3 linked regions of the Oryzias latipes genome follow. The main gene of each other region encodes a partner of the protein of the gene in region 3 in a complex. Links are inferred from orthologs where the notes say so. Each region holds a gene or a part of one and is shown on either strand. Other genes may lie near its edges.

Region 1 (4,351 bases), on a different chromosome or scaffold from region 3:
GTTGAACGTTAATTAATTTCATTTTGTTGGAAGTAAACCATTCTTGCTCGGTCCAGTTCTCATACAAATAATCACCAAAATCCTTCGACAGTTTACCTTGATGGGGATGACAGCTGTTTGCACCATGTTCCTGAAGCGACCGACCGAGGGGTCAATATCCTCTGAAAAGGAGAAAAAGCCTTTTAGAGATGTTTTCACACATCTACATTCATGAGAATCCTAATAACTGGAGAATAACATGGAATAGACACACTTTGACACAACTGCAAAAGTAATATCAATGTATTTTACAAATATTTTTCAGCCTTTTCATAAACTAAAATTTGGGTGTATATCTTTAGAAAGCAACATTGACAGAATTATTTGACTGTGCTTTAATAAAAAGGGAAATTAACTACACACCCCCCCCAAAAAAAACAAAAAACTATTTACCAGTACATAAACTTATATATATATATATAAAGAACTAGTCCACAGGAAATCTACCAAAAAAATATTCATCCTGTCTCAAGAGGTGAAAACAGCTATGATTAAAAACAAGAAGTTCATAAATGAAGTTTTTTATTTTTTACACTGGTAAGTACCTGGGTTAATGATGGAGTCCTCTTCACTGAAGGTGACTCTGGAGTTTCTGCGTTTCCTTTTAGGTCTTTGGATTTCCAGGTTGCCTTCTTCAATGGTCAATAGCGAGATGCGCTTGTTGTGAGCTGTGTTGAACTCTGTCAGATTCTGACAGGATTCAGAAACCACAAACATTTGTAAGGCGGCTACAACATTTCAACCAACCGGTAGACGGGATTAAAGGATTCATAAGTGGGAAAAAACATAGTAGTATTCTGAAACTAAACCTTGCCACTACTTACTTTTACTTTTACTTTGACCATGCACACATGGTCAAAGTAAAATATGCAGGTCTATTTGTATAAAAGCAAACAAGCAAATCTTAAACTTTAGTAGTTTGACAAATTTAGCCAGAGTTCAAGAATCAACAGGCAAAAAGACTGGAATAAACAGAGATGAAAACAAGATTGATCAGAAAACATAACGTACATCTAACTCTGTTTCTTCTTCTGGAAGACCTAGAAGTCCTTTGAGCTCCTCGTCATCTCCCGTCTTATTGTCTCCTGTGCTAGTGCTGCCTTGGGTTTGGGGTTTCTCTCTGATGATATACGTTCGCGTGGAAGCCCCAAAAGCTAAAGTGGAGTCTATAGGAACCTGCTGAGGCTTGTGGGCCTCGAGGCGGATGTGTCCAAGGAAAGTACCATGTGCTGAAAGGGTAACAATCAAATAAGGTTTCCCAAAAGAATAAAATAAAGAGGTAACGCAACACTGTCATAACAATGAAACAATACTACAACAAAACAAGATGCAATTTTTACCACCACCGTACACTCCAACTCTTTTAGCAATTGGGAAAGATATTTGCTTTAAAGTCAGAAAGTTGATCAAATCTAAATTTTTCAGTGATACGATCCGTGATTTCATCACAACACATGAAATACAAACAAACAAAATGTGTATGGATGTTGAAGCTGTGGTGATCCTTTTAACTCTATTCATATGATTTAATATTCGTAAATGTATCAAACGTGATGGCAGAATGTATTCAATTCCTAAATGATTAAAATGCTTCAGTATTGCATTCTGCTTTGTGTACCGTTTCTTTCTTCCAACAATATAAATCAAATACAAAGGTAGGACTAAAAGCGATCCCTTACTGCTGTTGAGGTCTATAAGGAAGAGTCTTTTTAGGTGTTTGTGGTAGACTAAGGCAGCATGAACACGGGAACATGACTGATGGTCGATGGTGAAGTCACACCAGTCGGGGTTCCTCCCAAAAAGGTAAAACTTCTTCTCATCAATAATCAATTTCTATAGAAAAGAGAGAATGTTTTTTCTGTCAGTCACACATAAAGTATGGCTTCAACAGTACAGGTGTACCTCTGAGTCATAACTCATCAGTGTCGCTTCCACTGATCAGCTTAAACCTCACGGCTGATTTTGCTGTAGCACCGTTGGAAGCCATGCAGCCACAGACCTGTCCTGATGTTCAAACATCAGGGACAGAGCAGACTGTCAGGCTCGTGTATGGGTGCATGTATGGACTTACACGATACATGATTTAACAACAGTAAGGCACAAAAGCAGAATAAGCAGTCATATTACTGCATAACAGGACCAACATCTGCACATTTTCATTCAATTATTACCTCTATCAGTTTGTCTCCCTTCATTACGTCAAGATGAAGCCCCGTGGGGGGTTTGCCTGCCCTGTAAACAGACGATCAACTACTGTCAATATTTAGGGAAAACAAACAAACATGGATCATGCACAAATTAATGTTACAATAAATGAATTCAAATGTCTTTTACATGTTTCTCTCCGCGCTAGCTATTTCAAGAATAAATATTTTAAAGATAAATATTTTCCACATTTATAATAATAATTATTTTTAATTGATCTGGACGTGAATTCTACTCATACAAAGAACACGGCTTTCCCCGTTCGAATAAATAATTTCTAGCCCTTCTGGTTAATTGACGCCAACAACGCTAAGGGTTACCATGCTAACCTAGCTAATGTTAGCAACTGCAACTACAGACTTCTACTTAGCATTAAAAGGCACAAATGAACAGGTCAAATAGCTTTGCAAATGCACATCCAGCAACGCGTTACAAATTTCTAGTTTGTTCTGCAATAAGTAAGTTTTCTCACCATGATGGACAATCAAAAGGCGGAGGACCGTCTTTGCCTGTTTTAGTCGCCATCTTGCTTTAGCATATTGCAACCAAAATGCATGCTGGGTAAACAAAACATTGGGATGTCGGGAGTTGTCGTTCAGAGATAATAATGATAGTAAGAGTAATAATATTAATAATAATTTTACCATATTGCAATATTCGTCAGATTTGTACAGGATACAGGGAATTATTCTTTTTTAGTAAAACTTTTGAAATAGTTTTTTTTTTTTTTTGGCAAATGATCTTCACTTAAAACTTAATTGCACTGTAAGATTTATTAACAAAAAAAGTTCAATTTTGATTTACTTGTGTTAAATCCATTCATAGAAAATGTAATATTTTAATTAAAAATATACAGATTAATTTTAATAATAATGTCATTAATTTTAATTTCACAACAGTCCTGTAATGGGACTCAGAAAAAGTTATAAAAAATATTTGATGACAAAAATGACTTTTTTTGTTAGCTTTTCTCTTTTCTCTTCATGGTTTACACAGCAGAACCCTCGACCACATGCCTCCCCATCTATCCCATAGGAAAGATGTTCTTCTTACTACAGTACTGACCAAAAGTTTGGACACACCTTCTCATTCAAATGAATGGGAAGGTTTGTCCAAACGTTTGGTCTGTACTGTATGTTTAATGTTTCTTTTCAAGATGATGAGTGGTTTGGGAGTAACTTTTAAATACTTAACTAATGAAAAACATTATCATATTATATTTTGAAAAACAAACAAACAAAAACAGTTATAATTCAAGTAATTTTTTATTTGATTTGCATGTTTCTTTGTAAAGCTGCCTAATAAACATGAAGAATTCAATTACAAAAGACCACTAGAGGTCTCTAAACTCTTAATTTGAAAATGGAAACATTTTCTTGGAAATAAATGATTGGTCAACATGTGTGGGATTCTGTGTTGGGGGGCTTGAAGTTGTGTCTGTATCTATTTCTGCTTGTGAGTGGGTGAACTCCTTCTGGTTTTTGCTTTTTTGGTCAGGCCTGAGGTGGGTGGAAGGGGGGGGGGGGTTACCTCAAATTAACTGACTCTCTTGGATCCATTTAGAGTTCTATGTTTTAAATAAAAAAATATGTTCAGCGTTGACCTCTGTTAGTCAGCTGGAGATGGTAAAAGTTTTGTTTACAGATGGCATAAAGTGTAAAGCTGAAGCAGAAGTGAACTTTCAGAAAGGATGATAGACATTTTCAGAAAAGCGCTGTGAGCTGGATCCATAAAGAGGGGGTGCAGACACAACTTTTAACTGCATTTGATTCAGACATGTAAGGCTTCAACCAAAAATGAAATGTTTTCCGTCTATAATTTGCAAAAGGGGTAAAGATCACATGTTTAGTTAATGTGTCACACATCCAAATCCAGTTTTCCTTACCCAAGTACATTTGCATACAGTAAAATAAAATAAAACGAGTTCTAAGGTTTAGGCATTGCAGTAGAGTTAGTCCTTCTAGAACATTTTTAATTCAGAAAGAATGCATTTTATGTTTTGTTCCATTGATAGAGGAGAAATTGTTCTTCTCAGATTCTGTCTCTCACACATTCATGTGCATATATGACATCTGTAAAAACTCTTATTCACTTTGTGGTGTATTTT
Region 2 (4,054 bases), about 7.0 Mb from region 3:
CAACAGAACCGGTGATAAAGGGCAGACCTGCTGGACTCCAACGTGCACCGGGAACAGGTTTGACTTACTGCCGGCTATGCGAACCAAGCTCTTGCTCCGGTCATGCAGAGACCAGACAGCCCTCAGTAAGGCTCCCCGGACCCCATACTCCCATAGTTCCCTCCACAGGATACGGGGGACGGACGTGGTCGAACGCCTTCTCCAAATCCACAAAACACATCTGGACTGAATGAGCGAACTCCCGCATTCCCTCCAGCACCCTAGAGAGGGTGTAGAGCTGTTATACTGTTCCACGACCAGGACGGAAACCTAACTGTTGTTCCTGGATCTGAGGTTCCACTATCGGACCGACTGTCTTCTCCAGTACTGTGGCCTATTGACTTTCCTAGAGAGCCGGGGGTGTGTGATTCCCTGGTAGTTTGAACAAAACTAGATCAAAAACAGATCCTCAAAAATGTTATCAATGTACTGGGAAAAGTACGAGATTGAACTCCGGTATTCACAAACTTTGGCGTCATCTTGATAGGCAGGGCGCCCTGGTAGTACAGGTGTAAACCTCTTATGATGGACGTTTAAAAAACACAAAAAAATCAAGTTATTTAAAAAAAACAGTTATTTCTTCCTGAATCTCATCCTTTTTATCATCTCAAAGCTCCAAATCTGAATCTCTCTCAACTATCTGGTATAAAATCCTCTCTGCTTCACTTTTTTCTCCAAACATTATGTGCAGCAATTAAATACATTAAAATGGTCCCGGTGTCCTCTACAGTGGACATTCATTAAATGCCTGCTGTTTTAAAACCGAAAACATGAAACTTTTTTCAGATCTAAAAATATTGTTCCTAACATGTTTATGACCAAGAATATATATAATTATCATGGTAAAAAAAGGAATAGATACATAATTTTTGACTTGCCTTTCACCTTTCCATAAAATTAGGTAAATGGCATGGAAGCCATCTTTGTAGAGGTAAAACTTAAAGTTCCCAGCATGCAAACTCATCACATGACACATCAATGGAAAGCCCAGGATGTCCTCTACAGATTAAAGTAGGATTCGGAAAGGCATCTCTTAATTCCTTAGAAATATACAGATAAACAAAATGACCATTATAGAGGACATAAGTGAATGGGCCGGGTCTCAGGAGGATATTATTTTTTTTAATATATAGTATAGCTTTTACCACAGTGTGTCGCTGTTTCTTCCCACCGCCACTAATAGCAGTTTCTCGTAGTTTCCTTGTCAGGTCAAAGTTCACTGGATGCGGAATCGGCGTACCACGGCTTTTTTCAATGAAATAGTTGTATGATATATATAGTTTGACTCTGCAGCGCCTGGCTCTCAGGCTCAGGAACTCTTTATACACCCAGACTTAAATGTTTGGCGAGTTGTTGTTAAAAATAACTAACGTTAGCCAACTCTTATGTAATAGCAGACAGCTGCTACACTGGAGAAAAAAGGCATCTGTGGTGCTGGAGCTATCTAAGCTAACTACACGGTTCCCCGCCACGCAAACCATAGAGTAAGTGATTATGACTGATGACTTTGTGCGAAAAGAATGACTTGGTGTGTTTGTGACGCTGTTTATCACGTTTCCCCTCATTATTATTGATTTACGATCCTAAATGTATTTCTGTTCGTTGCGTAGCATGATGGGTAGCTCAAGTTAGCGGTAACTTAGCTGATGTTTTGGTTTGGTATTCATTTATTTAAAGTACTTGTAAGTAATTATTTGCTAGTAAATTAAATATGTTCCCCCTGTATAGTATTATTCGTGTATAAATATGCTACTGATTTGATTCGAGTATTAAGAAAAAACATTGAATAGAATTGTAACAGCTAGAGGTTAAGCTGAATAGCATCAATTAATTTGTTTATTTACAGACTTGAGGTCTACATATAAACACCACAACCATATATAACAGACAGTCATATAGAATAAAATCACTAGTCAAAAAAAGTGAATATAACAACAATAATAGTGATTAAAAAAAAGAAATGTGTAGCATTGGGGACTGGCATACACAAGTCCTGTCTAAATCTGTCAGTTTTGTGGAATTCTCTTTATTTCTTTGTGATATTTTTGTTCTTGTTTTGGCTACAGGGTCTGCGTAGATGTGTGAACTAGCTTAGCTGGAAAATCTCTGATTTTTCTGGTCCTTGGGGCATCCTCACTCGTCTCTGAATGACAATGACCACCATCGTCCACGACACCACAGAGGCAGTCTGCTTGTCCGCCGAGTACAATTTGTACCTCAAGCCGATAGCTAAAATGACCGTCAGCGTGGCCCTACCCCAGCTCAAGCTGCCAGGCAAGAGCATCTCCAACTGGGAAGTGATGGAGAGGGTGAAGGCGATGGTCGCTCCTGAGCAGTTCTCCGCCCTCAGAATCTCCAAGAGCACCATGGACTTCATCCGCTTTGAGGGCGAGGTGGAGAACAAGACTGTGGTCAAAGGCCTGCTAAGCCGTCTTGATGGAAAGACCATTAAACTTAGTGGATTCACCGATGTGCTCAAGGTAAGGCTGACAGTTTGAATCACCAATTGCTTAATTATTGCGTTTAAACTAAAGACGCACTCTGATGAAAACCGTGTTTTGGGTGTTTTTAATTATGAATTTGTAGCATTTTTCTGATGGTGGAGACATCTACGAAAAATATCAAGCTTAAATTAGTATTTCTGAGTATTTCTTTAGTGAAATCATGTGAATCAGGAGCAGACAAAAAATTACTTGTAGGTGGGATTTAGAAACTACGATGGCAAGCCACAAACCCCCCTTGCTCCGCTCCACTCTGATGCATCCACTTGCAGACAAATAGATCCATGTACGTCTTTGTTTTCCTCATCTGAGCTGACATCTAGCTCAGAACTGTACAGCTGGATAGCTCCGATATTGGGCGCAATTCTTGGTGCACCAGTAATGTCATGTCGGGGTTGTGAGGGGACTGAAAGCTAGCGGGAAAGAACGTAAACAGATGGATGATGGGAAGGGGACAGGCTTACTCTGTGCCAACAGTTCCGCCCACAACTCGAAGGCAAATTTTTAATGAACTCCAGCCGCTCTGTAGCAACTCTGTCCTAGAAGAATACGCAACGATTACATTGATTCATTTTTTTCATTCATCTTCTATCGTTTATTCCCTTTCAGGGTCACGGGGCTGCCGGAGCCTATCCCGGCCACTTTACAATAGATCAAAAAATGATTGGAGTGGGACTTTAAAGACTTTTATACATTATAATTTGTTCCATTAGACTAATACTTCAACTATATCTCTACCACAAAATGGATGGACTGTATGTGATGCATTCGTTGGTCTGTCTTCGTCCCTCAGGTTCGGGCAGTAGAAAATAAGGTGGAATTCCCCACCCGCCATGACTGGGACTCCTTTTTCCGTGATGCTAAGGACATGAATGAGACCCTGCCTGGAGAGAGGCCGGACACCATCCACCTGGAAGGCCTTCCCTGTCGCTGGTTCAGTCAGAAAGACAGTCAGTTCCCAGATCGGCCCTCAGAAGAAGTCCTCATTGCTGTTTTCCAGACATTTGGGAAGGTAATTGTCGATTAAAGACATACATTCTTCTCAGTTGGTAGTTCTGTATGTGACTATTTTTACATTTCTATACGTTTAACCAGGCTGTTCAGTACAAATCATGTTTTCTCAGCAAAAAGCTAAATTAAATAGAAAAATACAGATTGTTTATAGTTGCAAAGGTTTGCTGATCAGCTTTCCCTCTATTAACATGTTAGAGCATTTATAGAACCTCATACTGTTAATGTTTTTCATTTTTTGCTCTTCTTTGGAACAGTTTGTCTGAATCTATTTTTTTTTTTTGTGTAGGAAGAAGTCTGTATTTCTGCTTTTTTTTTACATCCAATTAGAGAACCCAGGTGAAAGTGTCTGAGTTCAAAGATCAGAAAGACCCCCTAAGCGTCAGAGTTCTTTATTAATAAACCAATAATAAAATCCAAACACCAAGTAGAAGAAGAGATGAAATAATGGCAACATATTTTGTGTTGTCTTTGTCAATTCTGGACTTTTAATTTGTTATGAC
Region 3 (3,563 bases):
CATGACAAAGGTGGATAAAGGTGAAATAGGATTTTATGTAATGCATTGATACCAATGAAGATCACATTCAGATGACCCCACTCCCAATGTTAAAATGCCTTGGATTGCACAAGGGTTACACATTGTTTAAATGTTCACTATGACCCGATGCTCGCAGCATGCCAGTTAGGGCTGCACGATATGAGGAAAACTCGCGATATGCGATATTGGTGATTAATATTGCGATAACGATATAATTCGCGGTATATAAACAAATAGCAAAACAACCAAAAACATAATTTCCGTGTTGACTGCAACAGTTTAAAAATTATACTCCAAATGACCCTTGTCGACGTAGGAGCCAAACATCAAACATCAACAACGTAAACGAGTCCTTCCGATTGGTTAAATGCATAAAGAGATTTATTTCATTTGTTCAATATTTCAAGCTGCCATGAGATTGTTTTAGCACATTTAAGGTAACCATTTATTGCGATTTTCGCCGTCTTTTGCGGTATGCATATTGCACAGCTTGATGTCGCGATAACGATAAATTTGCGGTATATTGTGCAGGCCTAATGCCAGTAGAAAAAGTTTGCACACATATTTTTGCTCTACAGGTTCACAGAGTGGTCTAAAACTTTGATATTTCGTGCGGACCACCTGTGGGCCCTGTACAGACTTTTCACCTGCAGAAAGTCTGTATACACCCGTAAGGGAATTTGTGACTAAAGGCCTGTTCACACCGGGACGAATTTCGCCGGCGATTTTCGCCGACGTTTAACGCCTCGTGACTAAACAAAGGGCACCAATGTGAGTGTGCACACCGAGGCGAAAAAACGCCAAGCGCCAAACCGTCAAAAAAAAAAAAACGCCTCGGGTTCGTTTTTTTTTTTCGACGCGTCGCGTCGAAATCTATTCGACCAATGAGAATGGCGCTTTTGCACACGTGTCTGGAGCTTCTGAAGTTACAGTAAAACACCACTTGGGGGCGCTCAAACACAAACTGCCTTGCTGAGCACACATACCAGCGAAGAAGATAGACGCCGAGTAGCGTCTACACTGCCGCGAAGAAATAATGACGGACATTCTAAAATATCCCCGAACCAAGCACCAGTTGGAGCTACTGGTGCTTGAAATATTCATGTTTTCTTTGTATGATTCTGACAAGCGCGTAAATACTTGCTCTCTTCTTCTGAGTGAAAAGCGACTTTAAGAAGCCTAAAGTTGCGCAGCGCCACCTTGTGTACAGGAGTATTTCTGTTTACATTAAGCGCCATCTAATGTCAGGGAATGAAATTGCATGTTCGCTCGGCTCATCGTCAGCGAAAATCGCCTGGGTGTGAACACAAAAAACGTGGCGAAAAACGCTGGCGAAAAACGCCTGGCGAATATTCGTCCCGGTGTGTACGGGCCTTAAGGCTTTAGCAAGAAGCAAACTCAGAGAGAAGGTTTTGTGTGCCTCTTCTGTTTGACAGAAGACAGGTAAAGGTAACAGGTAAAAATATGACAGACTGAAGAAATAAGATTATTTGAAGAGATAAGTAAAAGATGCATTAGTAGCTTCACCTTTTTTGGTCGTCACTCTTCTCTTTGATTGCCATGAGCTCAGAGGTGATAGCTGAAATCTATAACATTTGGGAAAAAGCAAAGCAAAAGACACTTTGTTAAACAAAATGCAGTTAGTTTAGGAAAAGCTCTCGCTATCAGAATCATGAGCAGAACCCTTCTATTTCTAGTTGGTTGGCACCTTGGTGCTTTTGTTGGTGTCCTCAAACAGCCGTGAGGGGAAGCGACTGCCATTGAGCAGCACTGTGTCTTTGGGGTCAGCATCTGATGGTGAGGGGCTGGAGGACAGCGACAGAGCATTAAGCTGCTCCTCCAGGGACAAAACGATGCCGTCCCCCTGCAGCTCAGAGGAGTCCAGCGTCTGAACAGAGAAAAGGAAACTGGTTTGTCCTCCAGGGCTGTAATCTCCTGTGAGAGGATGCAAAAAAAGAGTGCCGACCTTCTTCAGAAGAGAGAGGTGACAGCAGCACTGACGAAGGCGCAGCAGCAAGGACAGGATGTGGATGCTGCTGGAGGACTGTTGATGCTGCTGAGAGCTTGATGCGGCAGAATCAGACTGAGACAGGCCGAACTCTTGTGCCACTGGAAGACGGCACAAACGGTGTTAGAAAAATGCAACAAGAAATACAATTACAAGGAATTATGTCTGTGAAGACTCTCATTCATCCAGGTTGTTTTCATCGCAGTAGTAGGTATAATAATTGTCATCTGGACTTGGTTTTTAAAGTTGAAAAGTTTTCAACTTTAAAAATGCAATTACTAGGAAATAAAAAAAATTTAAAAAAAATCACATTTCTTTATTGTAAGGCTACCTACACTAAGACACAGGAACACATTTATTTGTCTAAACCTTATCTCACCTTTGTCAAATGGATTGGAGGAGGAGTTTCCCACGTCCTTTCCTTCATGTCTCTTCAGATAATTCTGCAGAGTAGATCTGAGGGAAAAACATCCAGAGTGAGACGACTGTTTTAAATATCTTTGTTTTGTTTATTGTCGATACAGACCAGAGAGTTTCTTAAATGGCATTTCTTATAGAATGTCTTCCATCTTTACAGTTTTAAAGGTGAACAGGTTTTGGGTTCTTGTCCTGATAAGTAAGTCCATTATGGAATCATTTCTTCATCACTGTATATTAAAATATTAAACTTTAGTTGTTAGTTCCTCATTCAAGTTTAAATGGAAAACTCACGAATCCTTTAATAACGCATCTGTCAGGAAAAACTCAAAAATTTTGTTTGGATAACAAATTCATTTTTTAACCTTGTAAAGAAAAAATTGCACTAACTATAGAAAAAGATTTTGAAGACAAAAATTTTTATTTACTTTTTTACATTTAAAAATTACTCAGATTGCCTTAAAAATTGGACTGCACAATGGTGCAGCGGTTAGCACTCTCGCCTCATAGGGAGAAGGTCCTGTCTCAAAACATTCTGGCTTCCTCCCACAGTTCAAGAACTTTCTTCATATGTCAATTGATACATCTGAATTGCCCCTAGGTGTGCATGTGAGTGTGTAGCCCTGCAACAGACTGGTGACCCTTTCAGGATGTACCCCACCCTCACCCAACAGTAGCTGGACCTTAAGCAGCCCAGTGACCCTGAAAGGGATTCAGCGGGTTCTGGCAATTGAAGGTTGAAAATTCATTTAGGTTAAGAAATTACCATAAAATTTGTGAAAAATAAAAAAAACAGGAGAAGCTCATAACTGCAGGATTCACACTCTATTCTAACTAAAATTCCCTGGTTGTAAACTAGGAGCACAGAGATGCTGTGCTTTCATTTCCTTGAGGGATTTCAACATTTTGGGCTGTGTTCAGAGCCTTTCCAAAGATGCCCTTTATAAAATATCCTAAGCAACTTTTGGTTGAAAGAAAACTCTTTGGTTTCAAGGATTTCTCTGTTTCCAGCAGCAAGGTTTAGAACGTCCCTCCACTTTAACCAGTCCTCTGCATGGACTTAGTGCAGTTTAAGTTAAAGCAAAAGCAGCCAAATGTCAAAAGGTTGAGTACATTT

What was found.
Region 1: ttf2 (region 3) and ppp1r8 share a complex: the UniProt entries of both Homo sapiens proteins name them as parts of the spliceosome. The link is inferred for Oryzias latipes from reciprocal best matches to the Homo sapiens genes TTF2 and PPP1R8.
Region 2: ttf2 (region 3) and akap17a share a complex: the UniProt entries of both Homo sapiens proteins name them as parts of the spliceosome. The link is inferred for Oryzias latipes from reciprocal best matches to the Homo sapiens genes TTF2 and AKAP17A.

The regions. Positions count from the first base shown.
Region 1 is NC_019874.2:22,802,632-22,806,982, forward strand, and holds the start of ppp1r8 (nuclear inhibitor of protein phosphatase 1), read right to left. Parts: upstream 2,817-4,351; 5' UTR 2,770-2,816; coding exon 2,717-2,769; intron 2,272-2,716; coding exon 2,211-2,271; intron 2,099-2,210; exon of another isoform or gene 1,960-2,098; coding exon of another isoform or gene 1,942-1,959; exon of another isoform or gene 1,934-1,941; intron 1,873-1,933; coding exon 1,719-1,872; intron 1,269-1,718; coding exon 1,051-1,268; intron 730-1,050; coding exon 585-729; intron 162-584; coding exon 97-161; intron 1-96. UniProt on the Homo sapiens protein: Inhibitor subunit of the major nuclear protein phosphatase-1 (PP-1). It has RNA-binding activity but does not cleave RNA and may target PP-1 to RNA-associated substrates. May also be involved in pre-mRNA splicing.
Region 2 is NC_019879.2:18,186,219-18,190,272, forward strand, and holds the start of akap17a (A-kinase anchor protein 17A), read left to right. Parts: upstream 1-1,238; 5' UTR 1,239-1,523; intron 1,524-2,105; 5' UTR 2,106-2,186; coding exon 2,187-2,519; intron 2,520-3,333; coding exon 3,334-3,552; intron 3,553-4,054. UniProt on the Homo sapiens protein: Splice factor regulating alternative splice site selection for certain mRNA precursors. Mediates regulation of pre-mRNA splicing in a PKA-dependent manner.
Region 3 is NC_019879.2:11,156,155-11,159,717, reverse strand, and holds part of ttf2 (transcription termination factor 2), read right to left. Parts: intron 2,486-3,563; coding exon 2,409-2,485; intron 2,131-2,408; coding exon 1,988-2,130; intron 1,910-1,987; coding exon 1,730-1,909; intron 1,608-1,729; coding exon 1,549-1,607; intron 1-1,548. UniProt on the Homo sapiens protein: DsDNA-dependent ATPase which acts as a transcription termination factor by coupling ATP hydrolysis with removal of RNA polymerase II from the DNA template. May contribute to mitotic transcription repression. May also be involved in pre-mRNA splicing.